Linked DNA regions of Caenorhabditis elegans. The protein of the gene in region 2 purifies or fractionates together with the protein of the main gene of each other region. This does not show direct contact. Each region holds a gene or a part of one and is shown on either strand. Other genes may lie near its edges.

Region 1 (4,595 bases), on a different chromosome or scaffold from region 2:
ATCCAGTGATTTAACCGTCATATACCATTTCATCAAGCGATCCGGCTCAAGAATCTGATCTAATGCGATGTAGGTCCCGTTATTCGGAAATGAGATGTTCGGTTTCTGAAAAATTGCTGGGTACTATAGGATAAATGGCAGGAAGCAAACTACCAATATCTCTCGATCATCGAATAAACTTGCGAAGTTAAGCTTAGTGATACTTCTGGTGTCATTTGTGCACACATAATCATAGAAGTCGTTGCAAGGATCCATACTAGCATTCTGAATACATTTTGTAGTTTGTAGTTTATTTAGCAAAGTCTTCCTGAATATCGACAAATTCTAGGTTAAAGTCTTGAAACTTGAAACAAAAAATGGGAAACCAAAAAATGTCGAAAATTTTGACGGTTTTTTAAAAAATTGAACAAACCGGGATCTCTATATTCTTGATTTTTTGAATAAGTCATTTTCAAAAAAAAAATCACTGTCAATTAGTGTTCGAACTTAAGTAGATTCAATTTGATAATACCGGAAAATTCTAAATTTTCAGTATTTTTTTTGTTTCTTTTTGTGATTACTTACCTCTTGTCTACTCCGCACTATAATAGAAATTAGGGTCAGTATCAACAAGAAGTTCATGCTTGGTTAGAATTAGGAGTAAAATGAGAAAAAGCATGTGTTCATTTGTACGCCACATGTCGGAGCAACCTTGTTCTTCAAGTTTATCATCTAATGTTAAAAATATCTCTAAATCGCGAAGATCCAGACCAATGCAAAAAAGAGACCGATTTTATCTTTTCAAAACTCATTAAAAAATATCAAACTTGGCAGTTTTGCTTAAAAATTGAAAACATCTGAAAAAGTCAAATGTGGAATATTATGAGTCTGTTTTCTAAATGAAGTTCAAAATCGATTTTTCGTAAGATTAAAAAAAATCAATTTGTCTCATGATTTTTCCAATTAGTACTGAATTTACCAGATTATTTTTTTGTTCAAAAAATAAAACCTGCACTTTTTGGAAATGTTTCAAACTTTAAACTACTTGAACTTGATAATGTAATTTTTTTACAAAGTTCTCAGGAATGATTTTCAGTCAACTATTTTATTCATTGGCTCGATTGAATCAAGTTTGAGACTGATCTGAATACCTGACCTGATTTTGTATTTTTATAAAAATATTTTTCAGCCAAATTAATAGACAATTTTCACTGACAACATTCGTTCAGTAATTTGAAAATATTTAGCCATTCGAAAATATGCACCTGGGTCGGGATAGCTCAGTCGGTTGTGGTGGCCGTTCGCAACCTGGGAGTCACGAGTGCAAGTCCTAGTTCCCATTTGCGCTGTCGTATATTTGTTATATTTGTAAAAAGAAATTGGACATAGTGGAAAGATAGAAAAGTGTATAAAAGGTTGAAACGGTAGATTTCCTAATACAGAAAAAGCTAAAATTCTACAATTACTGTTGATGACAATTATCTAGCTTCAATCAAAAATTAGCTTTGCTTGGAAATAGTTTTGAGAATGAATTTTATTTCAAAAAAAAAAGCTTAAGAAAAGTACTCCTACGAAGAATATCGCTGCTCAAACAGAAACTCAAAGTAACTACAAATAAAACATGAAATCAATATTTAGTGAAAGTGGTAGTCGATTCCCCACTTGGAGAGATGAAGTGAATTTCGGTTGGGAAAACACGGATCGTGGTAGTTTTTCCGTCATCTTCAGCTGTTAGCATATGCTGCTTCCATGATCTCGAGTCACTGATGAATTTCGCATGCTCTATGTAGGATTTCTTTCCGATTTGGTGACCTTTGTTATCCACTTCTGAAATTTCAAGTTCTTTATTCTCAAAAGATAAAACTCCACAAACCAGTTCTCTCCTGAACCATCGTACCATCCACTAGCCAATTGTCAACTCCAGTTGTCAAGAATCCAGTGTTATAGGCGACACTTTTGAAGATTTCCTTGACTTCATCAGGCTGGAACATCACAACATCAGACTTATCCGCATCCCATCCAGTGTATTTATGTGTCACTTGAAACTTGAAGTGACTTCCAGTCTGATTATCAATTGAAACCTTTGCAGTGCGTCTCGTGAGTTGTGGTGGAGTTGGATCAGTCGACATGATCAGTTTTCAGTCAAGAAACGATCTGAATTATCAGTTGATACGGTAACCATTTTAAACTAAACGAGGAGGTGGAGTTATTGATAAGGAATGCAAGTGATCTTCTCTCTTTGACTATTTTTGTGGTTTGATTGTTTGTGAAATTGATAAAGAACATGAAATTGAACAGTTTGCCTGTTAGTTTCATGTAGCATGAACTATGATCATGAAAATTGATCATAAAGTTGTGCTTTCTTTTGGTACACCTTTGGTTTCTTGACGTCAAAACCGCAGACACGTTGCTTGAAAATGACAAAGAACACAAAGTAATGACAGATAAGCATAGACCAAAGGTTTTATATCAGTATTGAAACATTATCTATTGACAAGTAATGTGCTTAACTCCACCCACTTGAACTGCTTTTTAAAGTCAGTTGGAAATACACGAAATCAATCGAAACTCAAGTGAGTCGATTCTCTTCAACGTTTCAAGAAATGGCAAGCGACGAACCATCAGGTGTGACAGAACAATGGGCCAAAGTGGATATTGAGAACAAAAGTGACCATGTGTTCAAGTTCCAAGTGCTTCATCAGTATACCGGCAATGCATTGGAAGCTTCAAAATGGGTGAAATTGGAGCCAAACCAAAGTGCCCAAATTCTGGAGAAAGTTCACTACAACACTGGACCATTTACAACTGGTACTGATAATTGGAAGGTTCATGGAATCAAACAGATTGAGACAAACTGTAAGTTAACTTATATTTTGATAGTTTTGAAGGAATTAATTTACAGTAGACGATAAGAATGGAGTGGTTGATGGAAAGGTTCGTATTCTCGGTGAAGCTTGGCGTAGTGGACATCCAGATGGGGCTGATTGGAAAAAACACACTTTGAGAGTAGAAGACCATGCCCAAACTACAGTAATCAAGGTTCTCGAGAAAGAAGTTCAATTTGTATCCAAGAGTGGAACATCGACTACTGACTTCTATAGACATGATGTTTAAATTTTCAGTCAATAATTCTTATCAATAGATTTTCTTTAAAAGTTTCAATAAATTTATTGTAATTTATCTAATATAATTTTTCATGCGTACCAATCAAACTTGAATTCTAAACCCTGAGCTCAAAAACAGTCCACTAGAAGTGATTTACACTTTCTGAAGTTTTCTGAGCGGGCCCTATAAAATAAAATACATTTTTGAAGAACATCATATCGAATCAGGAATTCTATTCCTTACCAGAGTGCCTACCGGTGCCTACACCTAATACGTAGTAGAGACATTAACCGTGTGAGACGTTTTACATTATGTACGCAAGTAAGTAATACAAATATGATTTTTAAAAAACGTATTGCGTTTGGAAATATATCGGCCTATTTGTGCTCAGAGACAACTTAATGTATTGAGGCAGATTGTTATGTATTGAGGCAGAACGAGGAGGCGAAGACGAGTAGTTTATTATTACATTAAACTAAGGAATAAATAAGCTAGTTCATAGAGTTCACGTTGTACGATCTTTTTAGCCACGTCGTGGGTCAATACACGTTGATACCCAACAATTTTGGTGTTACTGTAGGTGACTTCTTTGGTAAATAAAACTTCTCTGTTAAATCCTGTTACTCACTTTTTTGATCTTCACATACCCCGGTCTAATTGAACTCGAGTCACTTTATTTTCACTTCGTTTCTTCTAATCCCTTCCCCCCGCCCATTTCTCATACTCGAGTTGAAATCTTTCAGGGTTTGTCTCGGTTTATAAGTTTATTTTAAAACTAAAAAAGGTTTCTGATTCAATATAACCTTTGAATAGACATCACACTCCGTTCTGACTGAATACCAACTAATTCTGCCATGTATTCCATATCAGCAAACCAAAAGAGGCGGAACCGGCATATTGCTGACAAACAATTTTATGATCTTTCTCCTTCTCATTCTTCTTATCAGTACTTTGTGGTTTGGTTCAATGTGTTGCGATTTGAAAATACAAAGAATTCGTTATCAGTGTTTATAACTCTATCACCAATAAAATATGAAGTTGGCAACTTTAGGTTAAAGTCCACAAGAAATTACAATAATCCATTACAAATCTATTCACCATTATAACTCGATAATTATTCACTGCTTCTGTGGGTTTTGGGAGAATGGGAGGATGTTTTCTCCAAGAGTGTTGAAAGTGGTAACCGATCGTCCACTTGGCGAAATGAACTGAACCTCAGTCTGAAATACCTTGATCACAGTTTCCTGTCCATCATCATCAGCTCTTAAAGTGTGCTTCTTCCATTTAGCAAAAGCTCCATGCCCCGTACTGTATGGAAGTCCGTCGACAAAGAACTTGCCGAAGATATTTCTAGCAATAGTTCCTTCCGTCTCGACCTGGATCAATTTAGTGCCATGAACCTTCCAGTTATCAACTCCAGTTGTGAAGAATCCGGTATTATAATATATCTTCTCGAAAACAGTGATTCTATCATCTGGCTTGAAGTCGATATATCCAGAATCATTGGTTTG
Region 2 (5,835 bases):
TTATTAGATAGAGGTAGTCAAAGATCATTTGAAGGTAGTCAAAGAGCATTTATACATCAGATCTCATCTCCATTTTTTCCGGAATTTCAGGAAATGAGAAAGTGCACGACCTTCTTAGACATCAAAAAGTAACATGTTATTGAAAATTCTGATTTTTCAGCGAAAAAAACTGAAAATTCTGAAAAATTAGATAAAGGTAGTCAATGAGCAAAGGTAGTCAATGAGCAAAAGGTAGTCAAAGAGCCGAAAGGTAGTCAAAGATCTAAGGTAGTCAATGAGCAAAAGGTAGTCAAAGAGCCGAAAGGTAGTCAAAGATCTAAGGTAGTCAAAGAGCAAAAGGTAGTCAAAGAGCCGAAAGGTAGTCAAAGAGCAAAAGGTAGTCAAAGAGCCGAAAGGTAGTCAAAGAGCAAAAGGTAGTCAAAGAGAAGGTAGTCAAAGAGTGTTTGCCAAAAAAACGTGCGAATGTCGTTGTTTTTCTAGTTTGTTCTGAAAACAATATTAAGTAAAAAATTTTGGTACAGTAGAACTACCATGTTCAAAAAACGAATTCATTTTAGGATATCGCACGGTATTTTTTAAATGAAATCTCTAAGAAACATCATATGTTGAAACTGCATAAATGTAAAAATATACCATAACAGTAGTAAATTAGAAAATGTCAGCAAGTTAGTAAATCTGAGTTCAAAGTAAATGAACTATTTCTTAGTAAATGACTGAGAGTAAAAAATGAGTAAATTAGACCTTGAAGTAAATGAACTCTTTTTCAGTAAACGAGAGAAAGTGAAATTGCTAGTAAAATAGACGTCGAAGTAAATGAGCCACTTACGTAAACGAGTGATTTGGTAAATGAGACTATTAGTTAATGAGGGTTTGCCTACTTTTTTTTGGTACAAACCCACCTCACTAATTTTGAGATTTAAACAACATTTGTTGCCTATTTTGCAACAATTATTGGTAAAATTTCTATGAAATTGAAGTTATTGTACCTTTTTGTTGCAATTACAATCAAATTTTCTGAATTTTCACATAAGAAACTAGTTTTTCAGCAAAAAATTGTAAGCTCAAAGTCAGAAAAATGTTCTGAAAATTAATATTGCACTCCCTATTAGTCTTGCACTCCCTATTAGTATTGCAAGCGGTAAGGCCATCGAAAAATAGTATTGCAGCCATATTAATAGAAGAAATACGGTAAATATTTCCGGAACATCGGCAAATTGCCGGAATTGAAAATTTCCGGCAAATCGGCAAATTGCCGGAATTGAATATTTCCGGCAAATAGGAAAATTTCCGAAATTGATTATTTTCAGCAAACCGGCACAGTGCGGGAATTGAAGTTTCCGGTGAATTGGCAAATTGTCGGAATATAATATTTCCGGTTTGCCGTTTGCCGGATACCAATTTGCCGATTTGCCGTAAATTTAAATTCCGGTAATTTGCCGATTTGCCGGAAAAAATCATATTGAGCATATTTTTTCAGAAAGACGGCGTGCGACAAAAAATTAACAAGAAATGTGGTTTTTGATGCTTTTCGAACAGTTTAAAATATGTTTGTCTTTCCGATTTATGTCTGATGGGAAGGAAAAGTACACACAAATTTATTTGCTCCATTGGCCAAAGCGAAAAAATCAGAATATTCAGAAAATGATTAGAATCCCTTATCCGGGCTCGATTCAAGATGCTTGCGAATCTCCGGGATTCCATCGACTTTCTGGTACCAGGCCTTGATGTCTGGGTACTCGTTCAAGTATTCCGGCCACCACGCGATTAGGGTTCTCATATTATCACAAATCATCAAATCAGCATAGGTAAGTCCGCCGGAGAACAAGAATCCGGAGATGCTAAGCTTCAGGAACTTCCCGATAATCGTCAGGAACTTGTCTCTAGCTGGAATCAGCGTCTTCTTCTTCTCCTCTTCGGTGTCATTCTGAAGAACGCCGATTTTCGCGTAATAGTATGGCTTGATCTCCGCGTAGAAATCCTTGAACTGATCGATGAGGGCGTCGGCGAGCGCTGCCTCCTCGTCGGTTTTTCCGGCATAGCCGAATTTTTTGGCGAGGTACCTGGCGATCGCCATGGATTGTGGGATTTGGAGTCCCGAACTGAGCTCGAGCACGGGCATTTGGCCAAAGGGCATTTTGGGTTTTTGAGCTGGCCAGTCTGCATGCTCAATGCGGATATCCTCGTATTTGGTGCCGGATAGGGCGAAGAGCTGGAAATTTTGCGATTTTTGCGCCAATGTGTTAATTACGGTTTGATCTACAAAAAATACGGGGGAATTTTTCGCCCGAAAAAATGTGACGTCAGCACGTTCTTAACCATGCAAAATCAGTTGAGAACTCTGCGTCTCAACTTCCCGCATTTTTTGTAGATCTACGTAGATCAAGACAAAATGAGACACTCTGACACCACGTGGATTGCGAAAAGGCGTGCACCTGTAAAGAGTACTGTAACTGGAAACAGGCGGTAGTATTTTCATCGATTTTTCACATTGTTTTGCGAAAAAACACTAACATTTTAACAAATCGACTCTTTGAAGGCGCACACCTTTTTTCATTTATCAAAAATTGCCGTGTCGAGACCGAGTACTGTTGCAAACGCGGCCCAAGTGGTGTCATAGTGTCCCATTTCGGTTTGATCTACGCAGATCTACGAGAATCGCGGGAATTTGGACGCATTTTTAATGGTTAAGAACGTGCTAACGTCACATTTTTTTGGGCAAAAAAAATTTATTCCCACATTTATTGTAGATCAAACCGTAATAGGACAGCCTGACACCACGTGGTGGCCTGGAAGCAAAGTGGCCTAGAAAAAGCTAAAATTCGGCCAGCAGTATTCTATGTCATGGTTTTAGCCGAAAAACTTCCTAGGTTGCGGATTTTCAACAAAAAAAAACGTACTCACTTTGGACAAGTGGCCGAGTTTCCTTGATTTCTAGGCCACGTTGAAAATGTCGAAAAATCGTAAAAATAACATTTTCGTGCTGATCGTGCCGTGATTTGCTACGTTACCGAGTTTTAGAAAAAACTCGGCCACCAATTCAATTTTCTAGGCCACCACACTAACCTGTCTAGAAACATCTCCCAATCCTCGTCCGTTAAAATAATAGAACTTGTACTCGGCCATCGTACAAAAGAGCAAGCACAATCACAGACAGTCAACACACAACTGATAGTCGTCTGCCAGTGTCCCCCTGTCCGCCCTTTTATACTTCCCATGCCACGTGTCTCCGTCTCTTTTCTCTTTTCCCGACGGGGGGAAACAACGTGGTTTATGCGATGGCGGCGGGGAGGTCACTGCCATCTTGATATTGATCTCAGAAGATAATTCGATTTATTTGTAATTGGATATGGCGGCGACGATTCATGGTCTTTTGTAGGAAAAATGATGACAAACATGACTTTTTTGTTCGAAAATATGGGATTTCTAGAATGATCTCTGTCGAAAAGTTCAAAAGTTTCATAGGCTTGCAGGCAGGCATAGGCAGTCTTGTAGGTATGCAGATAAACATAGGTTACCTTGCAGGCATTTAGTCAGGCTTGTATGGAAGGCATGCAGCCAGGCATAGGTTTATTTGACGGCAGGATGTTTCTTTTGATCGCAAACTCCCCAGGTGTGACTTACGCCTTCTTTGTGCCTACACCCATGCCTACTGTCTATGTTAGACCCTTTACGTAGGCCACAGACTGCCCGCTTGCCTTCAAGGCAAACTACACCTGCCTCGTGCCTAGATAACTTGCCTTCTAACAGACATACGTTTGATCTACTGCCTACTGTCAAAACCATCTTTTTTAGGTGGTAGGCAGCCTGAAAGCGTGCCTACCTACCTTAGAATCACTCATTATGATATAATAATCTTTATTAACATACACATAATATATCAAACAACAGAATCTGGTCTCGACGAGTTGTGCTCCTTGATCTCCGGTATCTCATTAACCTTCTCACGGAGCGCTGCAAGCTTCTGCTCCTCTCCGTGCTTATCAAACACTCCCAGCATCTCCATAGTTGTCAAAATATCAGCTATCACCAGATCAGCCCAAGTTACACCATCTCCGACTAGGAATCCTGACTTGCTCTTCTCAAGAATTCCATTAAGAATTTTGAAGAATGTATCCCGGGCCGGCGCGAAGACCTCCTTTTGGATTCGCTCGATTTCCTCCGCATTTCCGGATCTTTGAGCCATGATGAGTTGGCGTAGTGGGGTGACGAAGTCTTTGAATTGATCTACGATTGCATCCACCCACGCTTCTTCCTCTGATGTTTTTCCAGCGTAGCCGAATTTTTTGGCAAGGTAGCGGAGAATTGCAGCGGATTGGGGGATTTCGAAGCCATCGACTGAGAGGAATGGGAGCTGACCAAATGGGGTTTCTGGAAGATTCCTGGGTTGGGATTCAGACTTAGGCTTAGGTTTAGGCTTTCGCTTAGGCTTAGGTATAGTCATAGGCCGAGGCATAGGCTTAGGCTTAGAGTGGACCACCGTATCTGATTTTTAAAAAATTCTCAAAATCCGTGACAGTTATACAAATACCACTAAAAATGTTTCAAAAACTCACTTGGCTTCAACGCTCCCCACTCTGGAGTTCCATTCTCAATACGAACATCCTCAAACTCGACGTGAGCCAGCTTGAAGAGCTGCCGAGCCGGCTCAGCCCATCCACGAAGGTTGAAATAGTAGAGCTTGTATTGTGGCATTGTTTGTTGATGGGAGATGATTGAGTAGTACTTTATATACACAAAGTCGTTTCGAAAATCTCCGAAATTGAGGGGAGGGAGAGTGAGAGAAATAGAGAAATAGAAGAGTGGTTTGTGTTTTTGCGAAGAAACACTGGTCACAAAACAAAAAGTCAGAAAATTGGAAAAATTTTTGAAAAATTCAGAAAATGCATCAAAAGCTGTTTTTTTTTCAAAAATTCAAAAGTACTGAAAAATCATATGAAGTGCTTCATTTTTCTTTTATAAAACTGTTTAGCATGATAAAATATACCAAAAAATATTAAATAAAATTTGCTAACTTGTACGGAAGATTATTTTAAAAAGTTCAGAAAATACATCAAAAGCTGTTTTTTTCAAAAATTCAAAAGTACTGAAAAATCATATGGAGCCCTGTTGCACTTCTCGCACTATTATTTCAAAAAAAAGTATTTCGGTAAAAAAATATCCGCATAAAATACTACAATATGTTTATTATCTTTTATCACAGTTTTTAAAAATTCAACGCGATTCAAAATTTAGACTTCTGTATCCATTCTCGTCGCAATATGATCCTCCAAATCTGGGGTTCCATAGATTTTCTCCTTATACTTTTTCAAATTCTGATGTCCTTCATCATCATCATCGATGGCTCGAAGCTTCTCCAGACTGTGCAAATTATCAGCTATAACTAGATCAGCCCATGTGAGCCCATCACCAACTAAATAACCTGACTTGCTCTTTTTGAGAATTCGATTGAGAAGAATAAAGTAGACATCTCGAGCTGGATTGAAAATCTCGTAGCGGATTTTGAGGATTTCTTCTTCTGGTTTCCCGGCCCTTGTGGCAAAAAGGAGTGTTTTAAAAGCAACGGAGAAGTCTTTGAATTGGTCGACAACGGCGTCCGCCCACGCTTCTTCTTCTGGAGTTTTTCCGGCATAACCAAATTTCTTGGCAAGGTATCGACAAATTGCAGCAGATTGGGGGATGTCGAAGCCATCAACGTTGAGTACTGGGAGCTGACCAAATGGGGTTTCTGGAAGTTGAATTAATTATGGCAGGTCTTCTTTGTAGGCACGCTTGCCTACATGCCTACGTCTGCCATCGTGTGTTCATACTCTCAGTTTGTAATCGAACATTTTATAC
Region 3 (6,521 bases), 610 kb from region 2:
ATGTACCGCCCAGGTTATTTTTCTTGATGGTATGTACCTTTAAACGCTTCTAGATATTTGAAATCTTTGTAATTTCAGCTCTACCGCCGCTTATTCCTCATTTCCGCTCCAAAATCTGTATGGTACGCCAGAGTCAACTACGTCTATATGCTAACACTTTGGGCTGAGCCGTTAGGATTGGTTTTGGTATCGGTGGTGGATATTAATGGGGGATTTAGTAAGTTCTTTACGGTAACAACTTATATATTGAATTAAAATCTTAGTCCTTCACGCTCTTGGCTTTGCAATTTGGATCATTTGCTTCAACTTCAACATGTTGTTCAATATCATTTTGCATCATTTTGGAGGTTGCAGGGATGTTCATGATACGGTAAGAAACCTTTTTTGAGCAAATTTTCTATTTTTTTCCAATTTAAGTCTCCAGTTAAACTTCAATCCAACATTTTCAGATGGAAACCACATGGCGAATAAAATGCGTCATCTTCCTGGTTGGGTACTTCTGTGCCATATCAACGCCTATAACGTACCCATATTTTACAGCACATTGCTCCCCATATGGTAAGGTTTTTTGGTATTGTTTGGTCTAAGTGATTTGAAAATCAAATTTTGAACTTTCATGAAAGGCAGGCACGTTTTCAGGCGCAGGTATCTAGCACAAGCCTGCCTACCTACATGCCTACTTAGTGATTTTTAATTGCTTCTAAGCTTTGAAAAGTTCTAGATATTATCCTAATTGATTTATTCACTCATACTTTAGCAGTGTGGGCACTAGACAGGCATAGGCCGCATGGAAAGTAGGCAGGCAACATTTGTGTATGCCTATATGAAAAGATTTTGAAAAACTCTGTAAAATTATGTATTACAACTTACTCTGCGTTTGAAACCAATTTCTAATCCATGTCTCCCTGGCCTCTAATAATAAAAGTTTTGATCAGAAAAAAAATGGTAGGCAGGCACGGACACGTGCCTACCTTAGAGTAAAATCTTGTAAAATTATAAAACTCTAAGCTATATGTAGAACCTTCCAAGCTTTCAAGCTTTTAAGCCTCCCTGAAAAATTCCAAATTTCAAACCATAAAAATTTCAGCCTACAACCTCTTCTCGCTTGCTGAACTAATTGAAGTTGGCTGTAATTCCTTGTTCTATTCAATCGCCTACTTTGAATTCCCCAAAACTCGCATCACAATCGGAATCAAAAGTGTGCAGCGCAATCTCAACGAGCTTGACAAGTCAGTGACGAAAATGGCTCCAGCATTACCTCGGAAGGATTTCGTCTAAACTTTTTATTTTTTCTGTAGATTTTAAACCTCGATTTCAACGGGTTCCCCAATCCAGTGTTTGTACATATAGTTTACAATTTTACAATCAGTGAATAAAAACGTGTAATTTGTATTAAAAAATATTTTATATTTTGAGAAGAGAATGAGTTGGAACAACAAAAATAATCTGACGTGGATATATCCAAATAAATGGAAATAAAATGTATTTCCAAAGTTTTCACAATTCGAGGAGGATGTCTAACCTCACTTTCGTCAGAAATAGCTATTGTGAGTTTTGAAAAAAGTTACAAATTATGGAGCCACTACTGCTCGACTTGGAGCCAAAACTCCTGGACTTCAACATCTTAAACCTTGGATTTTCAGATCCTCAAAATGGCCCGTACAGTGATGGATTGAGTGAGCTTGTCCACAATATCTCATACTCTAACAGTTCTGAAAATTGTAGGTGTTGTGACTGGTCAAGTTCAGGAGACAGTTGACGTTTTTATGGCTATTATCCTGGTCATGATTGTCATTTTTCTAGCTGTTCATGTGAGTTTCTGGCTACAAGATTATTGTGTTGTGGAATATGAAAATGCCTGCCTACTTGCCTACGCCTTCGACGCCTGAGCAGGAATTTTTGTTTTTGAGATATTTTGAACTACAATTTATCGTTTTTCTACGTTTTTCATATCCAAAAGTTCTTGTTCCTTTTTTAAACAATTGCAGGCACGTACTGTAGGCACATAGGCTAGCGTTTCTCATGCACACAAAAAAATTTTACCAAAAATCTATCTAATTCTCTCTTTTCCAGCTCTTCATTCGATTCCACTACAAGGCAAAAACCGAGTATGCCCTCAACGAGCTGCGGGAGAAATTCGACAAAAACCCCAATGGTTCATCTGCATTTGCTCTGCCAAAGGATCCGAAAAAGGCAGGTGATTCTGCTCCAAAACCAGTTGAGATTTTGATGGAGCCGGAGCAACTTGCTCCGATGGTTCACTACATTGCAATGGCGCCACCTGGAAAAGCGGAGCAGCCGAACAAGAATGTCTTCTACAATGCGAATCCGTGAAAGCTCAGAAGTGAACTCGATGTCTAGTTTTTATTTTATTTTTTGTTTATTCTAGTGTTTTTCTGTTGTAAACTATGGATGTGTAATAAATGACTTTGGAGGCTGAAAACAGCCATAACCATGAGAAAAGTTGGAATCCTGAAAAATCTAGGGCGGGGGAGACTGCCAATTTCAGAGACGTTTTGACAAATTTAGCGATTTTCTGTTTTTCTTCATGATCTAAAATTTGTCATTTTCCAACTCTTACTAATCTCCGAGTTCGAATCTCGTACAAGATTACAACTACAAGCTTCTACCAGCAACTGAGCTCATGTGGTTCATAGCTTCAGCAACCCGTGAGACGTCGGCCCGTCCAAGACAACTGAAAGAATAGTCTTGCAGCCGACACTTTCCGGGTTCAAATACTAATTTAGAAACCTGTAAATCTTAATTTTTGGAGCGCCTCTAGCAGCCGACATCTTGCTGGTTTCTGAAAAAAAAAACAAGATTTCAAAAGCTGAAATTAGCTTGCAAGCCAAAATTTCAACTTTTGTGCCCACGAGTCTATTCAGATCAAACCATCTTCCCCTCACATTAATGTTCGAAAACTGATCACTGCTGTTTGCCCGTCTGCGTCTCTCCTCTCTCCTCCATTCCACTTGTTTTCTTCTCTATTTCTCCACGTGTTTGTACATAAACGTGATAATAATTATTGTTGGCGCGATTTATTTATTGAATTTAAAAATTAAATTCTTTAAATAAAAACCTTACGAATCAATTTATTTCTCGATTTCATTGCGTTTACGACATTTTATTTGTGAGTTTTTGTTGGCACGTGGCAATTGTTTTATACTTTTCTTTTTTTCAGCAAAATGAGTGCAAGTCTGGCACGTGGAATACTGAGCAAGATGGGCGGCTCATGCTGTCCTCACCATGCCCCAGCTACAAATCCATTCAAACTTGCAAAGCTTCATGGAAATAACAGTTAGTTTTTTACCCGAGCAGGCACGCAGGTAGGCGTGCCTGCCTGAAAACTTTCTAAAAAACCAATATTTTCAGAGTCAACAGATTACGCGTTCGAGATGGTGTGCTCAACTCTTCGTTTCGGAAAAGGAGTCACGTTGGAGGTTTGCTAGCAATATCACACATCACTAACTCAACTGTGAACTTTATCAGATTGGATACGACGTCCGTAATCTCGGAGCAAAGAAAACGTTGCTTATCACTGATAAGAATGTGCAGAATACGATCGCTTTTAAGTGAGTTATAGGAAAGCTTTAAAGCTCTAAAATTATTCAACAGACAAATTTTAGAAACGCCGAGCAAGCCTTAAAAATGGTGAATATCGAGTATGAGGTGTTTGATGATGTGCTCATTGAGCCAACCGTCAACAGTATGCAGAAAGCAATCGCATTTGCCAAATCGAAGCAATTCGATAGTTTCATCGCTGTTGGTGGAGGATCTGTGATCGACACGACGAAGGCTGCAGCTCTATATGCTTCTAATCCAGAAGCGGACTTCCTCGACTTTGTTGGACCACCATTCGGAAAATCCATGCAACCAAAGAACCCAATGCTCCCATTGATCGCTGTGCCAACAACTGCTGGAACTGGATCCGAGACTACCGCGGCTGCAATCATGGATCTTCCAGAGCACAAGTGCAAGACTGGAATCAGACTTCGTTGCATCAAGCCGTACTTGGCAGTTGTGGATCCGTTGAATGTGATGAGTATGCCTCGAAACGTGGCAATCTATTCTGGTTTCGATGTTCTCTGTCACGCGTTGGAAAGCTTCACAGCTTTGCCATTCGATCAAAGATCTCCACGCCCTGAGAATCCAGGAGTTCGTCCACTTTATCAAGGTTCCAACCCGATCAGTGATGTCTGGAGTAAAGAGGCTTTGAGAGTGAGTTGGAATTTCAACCATGAAGCTCTAAATGAATTTATATAATTTCAGATCATTGGAAAATACTTCCGCCGTTCTATCTTCGATCCAACCGACGAAGAAGCTCGTACAGAAATGCTCAAGGCTAGTTCATTTGCTGGGATTGGATTCGGAAACGCTGGGGTTCATCTTTGCCACGGACTCTCCTACCCAATCAGCTCCCAGGCGAAAAGCTGTGTGGCTGATGATTATCCAAAGGAGAAGAACTTGATTCCACATGGACTCTCTGTAATGACAACCGCAGTGGCTGATTTCGAGTTTACAACTGCCGCGTGCCCAGATAGACATTTGATTTCTGCACAGACTCTTGGTGCAGATATTCCGGTATGTAAATTGGCCACCAAGATGGTTCTGAACTAACTAGATATTTCCAGAACAATGCCAGCAATGAGTACATTTCCCGAACTCTTTGTGATCGGCTGAGAGGTTATATGCGAGACTTTGGAGTTCCAAATGGACTGAAAGGAATGGGATTCGAATTTTCTGATATTGGTAGAACACCTCTCTCTAGTTGAACTGCCTTATATTATACTATTTTCAGAAATGCTTACTGAAGCAGCCAGCCACTCCGTCCCAAATATTGCAATCTCTCCAAAGTCTGCGGATCGTGAAATTATCAGCACTCTGTACGAGAAGTCCCTTACGGTTTATTAGTCATTTTTCTTATTGTACTTATTTTATTATTGGTTGTACCATATACGTTATTGTTTCTTATGTTCAATGTAAATGTATTTAGAATAAATAAAGAAACAGAAACAGAAACAAAACAATGGCGCCAGGTGTCACCAGAATAATTAGAATCCTTCACCCCCCCCCCCCGTTTTTCTTCAAGGAACCGTTTAAATATTGCCGGCTTACTGTACTAATTAGGGATGACTAGAGGCGGGGAAGAACGAAGAAACATTACTACGCGACACGCAAACAATCGTAGGAATGTCCTTTGAAGCGCGGCGTGCCGGCATATTTGAATTTTGTTGCTGAAAGCTTTTTGGCCTTGGCTGTTATCAAGGATCTATGTATGTTTTGAGAGAATTGTCGAGAATAGCAGGATTTTGGAGACCAGGTACGGCGATACACTGGGTTCTTTTGGAAATTTGGCATATTTTAAGGTTGAATTTTTTTAGGAATTCGTTGGCAAAATGGTCAATTTTCATATCTCATTATCATTAATGTCATCACGAACTTTTCTAACATTAAACTTAACAAATAATTTTAAAATTTCTATATTTTTGAAAACAAAACTTAGATTTTGAGACTTTGCTAAAAATTTAAAAAAATATTTTTATGGCTTTTAAAATATTTGAAAAATTGATAAGAAGGTTTTTTTCCAATAAATTTTTTACAACTTTTGAAAAATTTGAAAATCTATAACAGATTGGCAATTTTTAATTGTAGGTGTTCTGGCTTGTAAGAAAAACTTTCTCCAGGCTGTCCCATCACGTTTTGATCTACAAAAATGCGGGAATTTTTAACCCAGAAAAATGTGACGTCATCACGCTCTTAGCCATGCAAATCCAGTTCAGAAGTCTACGTCTAAATTCCCGCAATTACGTAGATCAAACCGACATGGGACACACTGACGCCACGTGTTTCTCCAGTTCTAGACAAGTTCCAGATGAAAACTAAGCGGTTTTCCGATTTTCAAGCACAATTTGGAGATTTTAGATAACTTTGCTTTTTGTCTATTATTACAGAAATTGCCGATTTGCTGGAAAAAATTCAATTTCGTCACAAGAAACAAATTTTTTTGCACTGTTTTATAAAAAAAGGGGCCCGTCCACCTGCTTCACATATCTCTGATCTTCTACTAGCGCAAGCTCAACGTCATCAACAGATGCTAATAATGTATGTTGCGCTTATGGTCAAGATTTGAATAAGTGCTCGCTTCACGAGCTTGCAGTTTGACGCAACTCTAGAAGTGGGGGTCTGTGTGACGTCACAACCTCGAAGGGTCAAACAACGTCATATGGTGATTCCGGGTAAATAGTGAAATATATGTTTGGTGGTTGTGGGGAATCTTTATTATTTCACAAATAGAAAAAAGTAATCATCGAAACAGCGAGAATTTTTGTACAATACAAGTAATTTCAATGGTCATCAGAATTGGGTGTAGGAAGCGAATTGAGCAAGAGGGATCTGGAAAAAAGATGAAAGAAGCAAGTGGGAATTCTAGTATAGAAATGATTAATTTTTGGGAGGAGGCTTGGGCAGGATTTGACTAATCACAAACGAAGTCGTGGATGTGACAAGAACCAGGAAGCAGT
Region 4 (7,444 bases), on a different chromosome or scaffold from region 2:
CAGAAAATTTTAAAATCTTGGTTGCATTTTGTCACTTTTTCGCGCTGTTTACATTCATTAATTATTTTTGTGAAAAACAAAATATCAAGTTCCGCATTAAACTAATTTCAAATTTCATCGATTACTAAAATCAAAAAAACAAGAAATCTGAATTTATCCGAATAAAAAATGGAGCGATGTATTTGAGAGGCAACAAGAAATTGAAAGATAGTGTGTCGAGAAGAGAGACAGTGAGAAAAAGAGGGTAAATGGGCGAATACGCGCGGGAGGTGTGAGGGTTCGTGTTTGGCCTCCAATACCGATACGCACATTTTGTTGAGAGAAATGCAAGAGAAATGGGAAGAAAAAGGAGAACATAGATAAGAAATGACACGTGGCATGGTTCTTCTGCCTTGATCTATTGGATTATTTTATAGGCGAAACATTCTCGGAAACAACAAAACTCGACCTGATTTAGCTTAACGAAACAAAATATTCTGGAAAATTTACAAAGTGCTGTGATAAAAATATATTCCAAAAATTAATTGCTTACTGATTTTTAAATATTAATATTTTGAGGATAAATTTTCTGGAATTTTGTTTTTAAAAAAAGTATCCTTTCAAATAAGATGTCAAAAACTAAATATTTGAAAAACACTATTAGGTGATTGACAACGTATCCAGAGAGATTATTTTATATTAAAAGGAGTATAAGCTCAGCATATGGACTCAGCGCTCTTTGAAACTGAAATAGACACATGACACGGATTTTCTTTTGATTGCAGAAATTTTTTAACTGTTCAATATAAAGTATAAAAGATAGTTCTAATGAGCATTTCGTGAAGGGGATCGATTGACAAGTTATGTTTTGTCTAGTTCGTTTCGCAATAAAATTTGCTTCAACCTAAATAATTTCGATGGATTATTTTTTGAATAAAAATATAAATGTCATTTTCCGAAGGAACGAACATGAATCTGAACGAGAAGAGCAAGAGAACGAAGAGAATATTGGCGCGCCGGCCGGGCACCAATACTGACACGTTTTTTGTGCGAAGCGGGGCGATATTTATGCTTATGCAAATATTTTTTGGGTCTTCTTGTGGTTTTTCTTGGTTTTTGAGGCTTTGCGCGCATTTTTTCGTCAATGCCGATTTGTAGTAGAAGTAAGGAAAGTTTTGAAAAGTTCTTAAAATTTTTAATAGGTTCATGAGCCCTGAAAACGCAATATGAAAAAAATTATATACGATTTTTACAGCGATTTGAGAAGATTATTTAACAAGAAATAATGAAAAAATTGAATAAATGATAAGCATTGCTCAGGAAATTGATTAATACATAAGAAAATGTTTGAAAAACAAAAAAACAATACCGTATGAAGTTTAAAGGCACATGACCGCTTGGCATTAGGTCTCACATCGATTAGAATAAATTTTTAAAGGCGCACGACTTTTATTGTTGGGTCTTACAGCGAAACTGTGTATTTTTTTAAAACTTTTTGACCCAGATGTTGTTTCTCATTTTTATGCTCCATTTTCCGTCTTTTTTTTTTGTTTTTCTTTTCATCTTTGGTAAAATTGTTATAAAATGGATTTTAAATAATTAATTATATTCAATGAAAAATTATATTCAATGAAAAAGCAGTAAAACATCGTGTCACATACGACGTAGATTAGGAAAAATAACGGGAAATGGCGGGATAAAGCTTCAAATGCCGATCCCCTTGGGATTAATCTGAAAATCTCTGTTCTTTTTCTTGTTCTTCTCTTCTCATGGTAAACTTTAATATAATTGAAAGGTTTTATGCTGCTAAATAACGGCAAAAGACTGAAAAATGAGAGCACGATGGAGACAATTTTAAAAGAGAGAAACGGCGGAGTTGTTTCGGGAAATTTGATGGAATATGTTGTTTGATCGAAAAAGAAAAGCGCTCGCTGCTCAAGCTGTCTGAATTTATGAGCACGCACCTTTTTTGGAATTCATTTTTATTGAATATAAACTGAAAAGTCGGTTAGGAAACATCTAGAAAATATCATCTGTAGAAAAGATGATTTTATATTGAAGAGCAAAAAAGTGACACAGAGGCGTTGCGAAAACAAAATATAAATAAATGTGCACTCGTGACTCGGTTTCCCTTTTCTGGGCAGAAAATTGGGTGGAAAGAACTTTGTGATATGAGAATTGGTCTTTAATTTATGATCAGTGGGGGTTTATTTTTCTGATGTTCCTCCGTAATATTACTCAAGGCTAATACTAAATGTTAGGAAACGTTTCAAGAAAATCTTTGTCTTGTAATCTACCACACCAACGAAGCTTTTCTCGTTTTCCTGTATATTTTTTGTTGACGCTGAAGATGGTTTTTAATTATTTGTTTTATTTCTAAAAGTTCGACATCATTTCTTCAACGAATTTTTTTCGAATTTCTACAATCGTTATCTAATTTGATCGAAATTTGACTTTTAATCTCCAACGGAATTGTGTTCAATGGACCGTTTCTTCAATGCCACGTGACTTTGAACTGTCAATCCTTATTTTCCTAGATCACAATAGACCTCCATCATCATTTTTCTCTCGAAAACCAAAAAAACCAGTTTCAAAAATCGAGCCATTGGCACGTAGTCCTCTGTCGGTTTATTTCGTTCCTCCCAATATTTCTCTCCCTCTCTTCAGTCTCTCTTGTTGTTTTTCAGTCCCTTCCTCCATCTCGGGGCCCCTTTCTTTCTCGTTCTTCAGCATTACATCGTAAAGAATAAACAAGGTGCCTCATCTGAAGAACAAGACCTGCCTTTTTTCGTTTTTTAAATTGATTGAAACTTCAAAGCGGCCATGATTCTTGGTTTCTTTTTATATTGCCAAAAAATAATGTTTATCCTTTTTTGTTTATAAAAAAGCTAAATATTGAGGTTTTTCCAAATTTCTGAATAACTTAATTTGTACTTCTTTTTACAAACATATTTAACTCGCATCTATTGATTATTTTTCTAAACATTTTAGCCATTTTTAAAATATTTTCAAGCTCTACTAATTGTTCTCTAAATTATTCTCTTTCACAAAAAAAGTTTTGTGTTTTTTGTGATCTTTGTTTCCAGCACATTTTTCTATTTTTAATCTTCTTTTTTTGCCCAATCAATGTGTGAAATTGTCGATAAGAGACAATAATTTGTTTCAGCAGCTTGTGCGAAAAACTTCATCGATCGCCTGTTCTCTCTTCCACTCTCAACACTTCGCTTTTTTATTGGTAAGTTCTAGAAAATTGAACTCGTGAAGTATTGGATGCTGAGAAAGTATTTTGGACTGTTTGGACAACATAAAATAGATGTTTAGATTTTCCTATTTAAAGTCGGGATTTTCCAAAAAAAAAACGTCTGCGAAAAAACTTCTACATAAGTTGGTTAGGCTCTCTGTAGAAAGTGGATAAGATGAAGGAATTAGAAAACTTAATTTCGTTAAATTGTTATATTTGTGATTATCTCGAATTTTGATTCTTTCAAACTTCTGTTTTAAATTTGCTCTACCGAAAATTATTACCAATTTTCGGATTTTTCGTTGTTTAACAATTCTTAATAACGCCTATTTTGCTAAACGCTGGAACACGTGTGAGACGGAAAATCAAGACAAGAACAATGAAAAAATGAGATAGAAAACAGATAGAACCGAGAGAAAAACAGAAAAGAATTAGATGCACTTGGCATTTGTTTGCCCCTTTTCCCCGCCTTCCGACTATGAAAAGCTTTTTTTCTACCAGTTAATCTCTTTGATATCAAGATTTCTACTTATTTATTGGAAACTAAATGTAATTTTTGTACGTAAATCCGGTGTCACATTTTTTTAAGTTTAAAATTTTGTGCTGCGGGATAGAGTTTGAAAAAAACGGAGAAAAGGGAAAATGTTATTATAATATATTACAATACGGCTTTTTTTTAAATGTTCACCTATATTTACTGTTTTCTGAAACTGTATTTTCTGCATTGTTTGCTCATTAAGTTCAAACTATCAACTTATTGCTTTTTGCGCGCACTCAGCTCGTCCTCAACCAACAAACACACGCGGCCTAAAGTTAGGTTCGTGCAAACGGTAGAACATTCTGAGTACTTACTGTCTCTCTCACTCGTGGACGTTATCAATCACACCCAGTTATCACTGTCTATCCTTCTATCCTCATATACATTTCTTTTAAATTAGTTGCAATTGAAATGATATCTTTTCAATTCACTTGTTATATCTCGATCTTTTAATTTTACAGCATGCGAACCGTACAAGCAATTTCCGGACTCGTCACAAGTCGCTTTTTCGGCACATCCACTAGAATCATGGCTAGCGGAAAGGTGAGCATTTATTAATTTGCAAAATGTGTCAGGAATCAGATGGACACTGAATAGCAAAATTTCAGAAATGTTAAAAGTTGTTACAATATTGGCAATTTTAATCGTTTTCGAAATAGTTGTGTATTTTTTGAACAAAGTATTTTTAAAAATTCAATTTCAGACTTTGAACACCTCCAACATCAATCCAAATGTTATCAAGATGGAGTATGCTGTTCGTGGACCAATCGTGATCCGTGCCGTGGAGCTTGAAAAAGAGCTTGCGACCGGTGCTCAGAAGCCATTCCCAAATGTCATCAAGGCTAATATTGGAGATGCTCATGCTATGGGTCAAAAGCCGATTACTTTCATTCGCCAGCTCCTCGCGTGTATTGTCAACCCAGAGATCATGAAAACGGACAAATCAATTCCATCTGATGTTATCGAACATGCAAATGCATTCCTTGGAAGTTGTGGAGGAAAATCCGCTGGAGCATACAGTCAGAGTACGGGAGTGGAAATTGTACGAAAACACGTGGCAGAGTATATTAAGAGACGTGATGGAGGAATTCCATGCAATTCAGAAGATGTCTGCTTGTCTGGAGGAGCTTCTGAATCAATCCGAAATGTTCTCAAACTTTTTATCAATCATAACAACGCAAAGAAAGTCGGAGTCATGATTCCAATTCCACAATATCCACTCTATTCTGCCACTATCGAAGAATTCGGACTTGGACAAGTTGGATACTATTTGAGTGAATCGTCTAATTGGTCCATGGATGAAGCTGAACTTGAAAGATCTTTCAATGATCACTGCAAAGAATACGATATTCGAGTTTTGTGTATCATCAATCCAGGAAATCCTACCGGACAAGCACTTTCTCGTGAAAATATTGAGACTATCATCAAGTTTGCACAAAAGAAGAACCTGTTCCTTATGGCTGATGAGGTTTATCAAGTAAGTTTTCGATAAAAATTTACACTCGATAATTTTCCACTATTTTCAATTAAAATTATTTTAAATCATAAACCATATTTTTTAATGAGGAAAATCACACTTTTCTATTAAAATAATGAGATTTAAAATATCATCTTCAGGACAACGTCTACGCTCAAGGATCGCAATTCCATTCATTCAAGAAGGTTCTTGTGGAGATGGGAGAGCCATACAATAAGTGAGCTTTTTTTCCTAAGCAGTTAAAAAACTCATAATATTAATTTGCAGAATGGAATTGGCTTCTTTCCATTCGGTATCCAAAGGATACATGGGAGAATGCGGAATGCGTGGAGGATATGTTGAATTCTTGAATCTCGACCCAGAAGTGTATGTCCTTTTCAAAAAAATGATCTCTGCCAAATTGTGCTCCACAGTACTCGGACAAGCCGTCATTGATGCCGTTGTGAATCCACCAAAGGAAGGAGATGCATCGTATGCTCTGTGGAAACAAGAAAAGGATGCAGTACTTGCTTCTCTTAAGGAACGTGCTACACTCGTCGAGAAGGCATACAGTAGCATTGATGGAATCAGCTGTAATCCAGTTCAAGGAGCCATGTACGCTTTCCCGCAAATCACGATTCCACAGAGAGCTGTTGAAAAAGCTCAGTCTTTGAACCAACAACCTGATTTCTTCTATGCTATGCAACTTCTTGAGACCACCGGAATCTGTATCGTGCCAGGAAGTGGATTTGGACAAAAAGACGGAACTTATCATTTCAGGTTTGTGATACTCTAATTCACATTTAATACAATAAATCTAGATTCATTGTTGGTAAATTCAATTTTTTCAGAACGACAATTCTTCCACAGCCAGAACTCTTCAAAGACATGCTCTCCCGGTTCACTGATTTCCACCAAAAATTCCTTGCCGAATACAAGTAGACTTTGAACAATGTCTAATATTCTTCTTTTCTCAATTTTCTCAGCTTTTTTTCTTCTATGTCACTTTTTGTTTCATAGCCAATATGATAGGGTCTAAATGCGTTTACTGTGTAGATTCGATTAATTTTAATTATTGCATTGATGAATTTTAACATTCTTTTTTTTGTAGAAGACTATACTGCCACTTTCACCTGACAAACAATAGGACCTCAGACAGTTTCTGGCACACTCTTATTGATGGATTCCCAAAATACAAGGTCTTTGTCCAGAACCGCCGTTCAACACAATGTGCATTCCACTCGATCCAATTGAGCAGATTCTAATTCACCTAAACGGAGGCCCAATCTGTGACAGTTTATGACCAAATATTCTGTTGCACAAACGTTACATAATCAGGTCAATCTGCCTGCACACACACAATGTTGCCGACTGACGTAACACAGAATGATAGTTTATTGGAGGAAAACAAATGGGCTCTCGAGATAACTGGAGTAGATTACGCAGTTTTGAAATATCGCAGTATTCTTCACTGTCTATCTAAAATCTTATAAAACCAAAAATTACCTCCAAATGGGTTTCTTGGAAAACTACATGGTTCGGAAAATTCGGAATTGTTTGGTATTTTCAATTTATTTTTGAAATTTTCATACACTATTTCCAATTCTTAGTTGGAAAAATTGTTGTTAACAAATTTAAATGTTTTTTTTTGTTGAAAAGTCTTAAAATTTCAAAAAAATATCAAACAATACATATATTTTGCGAAATTTTCGAATTACTTACTTAAGTTTAGAAACGGTTTTGAATACTGAATTCTAGAATATTTCCAGCAATGATTCTCGTCACTAAATGTTTTCTCATTAGCTAAATTAAAATTGACAGCTCGGCCGTTGATGATCCCTTCTGAAAAGAATCAAGATTAGATAACCCCAATCGTTGTCTATTTTCAGAATAAATCGATATTTATAGTTTGACCTTTCCCTTCTGTCAGAATGTATTCGACCATCTGTGCTAAATTGGGGATGGATTAAAGATCCTTCATTAACCTCTATATTACTGTACTATTATAGTATTCTCTGACACATAGCCTCTCTATAGATAGGGGTTACAGAAATGAAATGTTACCCCAAAAGAGGGTTATGAGCATAGAGTTCCAGCAAAAGAATTGACCTACAAAGAACCAAACTTGGCGGCTAATTAATGTTTTGAAAAATTATGACGTCACACTATTGCTTAGATTTCAGCCATGTACTGATTTAATCACAAACATAATCTAGATATAATCTATCAA

What was found.
Region 1: the proteins of gst-20 (region 2) and pud-1.2 fractionate together in Caenorhabditis elegans (co-fractionation; one large-scale study listed by BioGRID). This does not show direct contact.
Region 3: the proteins of gst-20 (region 2) and hphd-1 fractionate together in Caenorhabditis elegans (co-fractionation; one large-scale study listed by BioGRID). This does not show direct contact.
Region 4: the proteins of gst-20 (region 2) and C32F10.8 fractionate together in Caenorhabditis elegans (co-fractionation; one large-scale study listed by BioGRID). This does not show direct contact.

Annotation. Positions count from the first base shown.
Region 1 is NC_003283.11:2,320,432-2,325,026, forward strand, and holds pud-1.2 (Up-regulated in Daf-2 domain-containing protein), read right to left. Parts: upstream 2,136-4,595; 5' UTR 2,109-2,135; coding exon 1,853-2,108; intron 1,807-1,852; coding exon 1,607-1,806; downstream 1-1,606. Other genes in the region: Y19D10B.6 (Peptidase_M13 domain-containing protein), read right to left, coding at 1-105, 154-264, 565-621; pud-2.2 (Up-regulated in Daf-2 domain-containing protein), read left to right, coding at 2,583-2,835, 2,882-3,093; pud-3 (Up-regulated in Daf-2 domain-containing protein), read right to left, coding at 4,203-4,595.
Region 2 is NC_003280.10:13,606,603-13,612,437, forward strand, and holds gst-20 (glutathione transferase), read right to left. Parts: upstream 3,223-5,835; 5' UTR 3,124-3,222; coding exon 3,064-3,123; intron 2,210-3,063; coding exon 1,646-2,209; 3' UTR 1,552-1,645; downstream 1-1,551. Other genes in the region: gst-24 (glutathione transferase), read right to left, coding at 3,878-4,368, 4,554-4,692; gst-15 (glutathione transferase), read right to left, coding at 5,229-5,725.
Region 3 is NC_003280.10:12,992,857-12,999,377, reverse strand, and holds hphd-1 (Hydroxyacid-oxoacid transhydrogenase, mitochondrial), read left to right. Parts: upstream 1-3,033; 5' UTR 3,034-3,130; intron 3,131-3,181; 5' UTR 3,182-3,185; coding exon 3,186-3,297; intron 3,298-3,372; coding exon 3,373-3,440; intron 3,441-3,489; coding exon 3,490-3,572; intron 3,573-3,626; coding exon 3,627-4,218; intron 4,219-4,269; coding exon 4,270-4,581; intron 4,582-4,631; coding exon 4,632-4,749; intron 4,750-4,798; coding exon 4,799-4,911; 3' UTR 4,912-5,016; downstream 5,017-6,521. Other genes in the region: Y38F1A.8 (Serpentine Receptor, class T), read left to right, coding at 1-29, 79-217, 264-370, 450-558, 1,088-1,278; Y38F1A.7 (uncharacterized protein), read left to right, coding at 1,574-1,676, 1,726-1,811, 2,074-2,334. UniProt on the Caenorhabditis elegans protein: Catalyzes the cofactor-independent reversible oxidation of gamma-hydroxybutyrate (GHB) to succinic semialdehyde (SSA) coupled to reduction of 2-ketoglutarate (2-KG) to D-2-hydroxyglutarate (D-2-HG).
Region 4 is NC_003279.8:5,821,850-5,829,293, reverse strand, and holds C32F10.8 (alanine transaminase), read left to right. Parts: upstream 1-3,145; 5' UTR 3,146-3,214; intron 3,215-3,405; exon of another isoform or gene 3,406-3,574; intron 3,575-4,219; 5' UTR 4,220-4,220; coding exon 4,221-4,301; intron 4,302-4,461; coding exon 4,462-5,235; intron 5,236-5,375; coding exon 5,376-5,452; intron 5,453-5,502; coding exon 5,503-5,994; intron 5,995-6,065; coding exon 6,066-6,156; 3' UTR 6,157-6,312; downstream 6,313-7,444.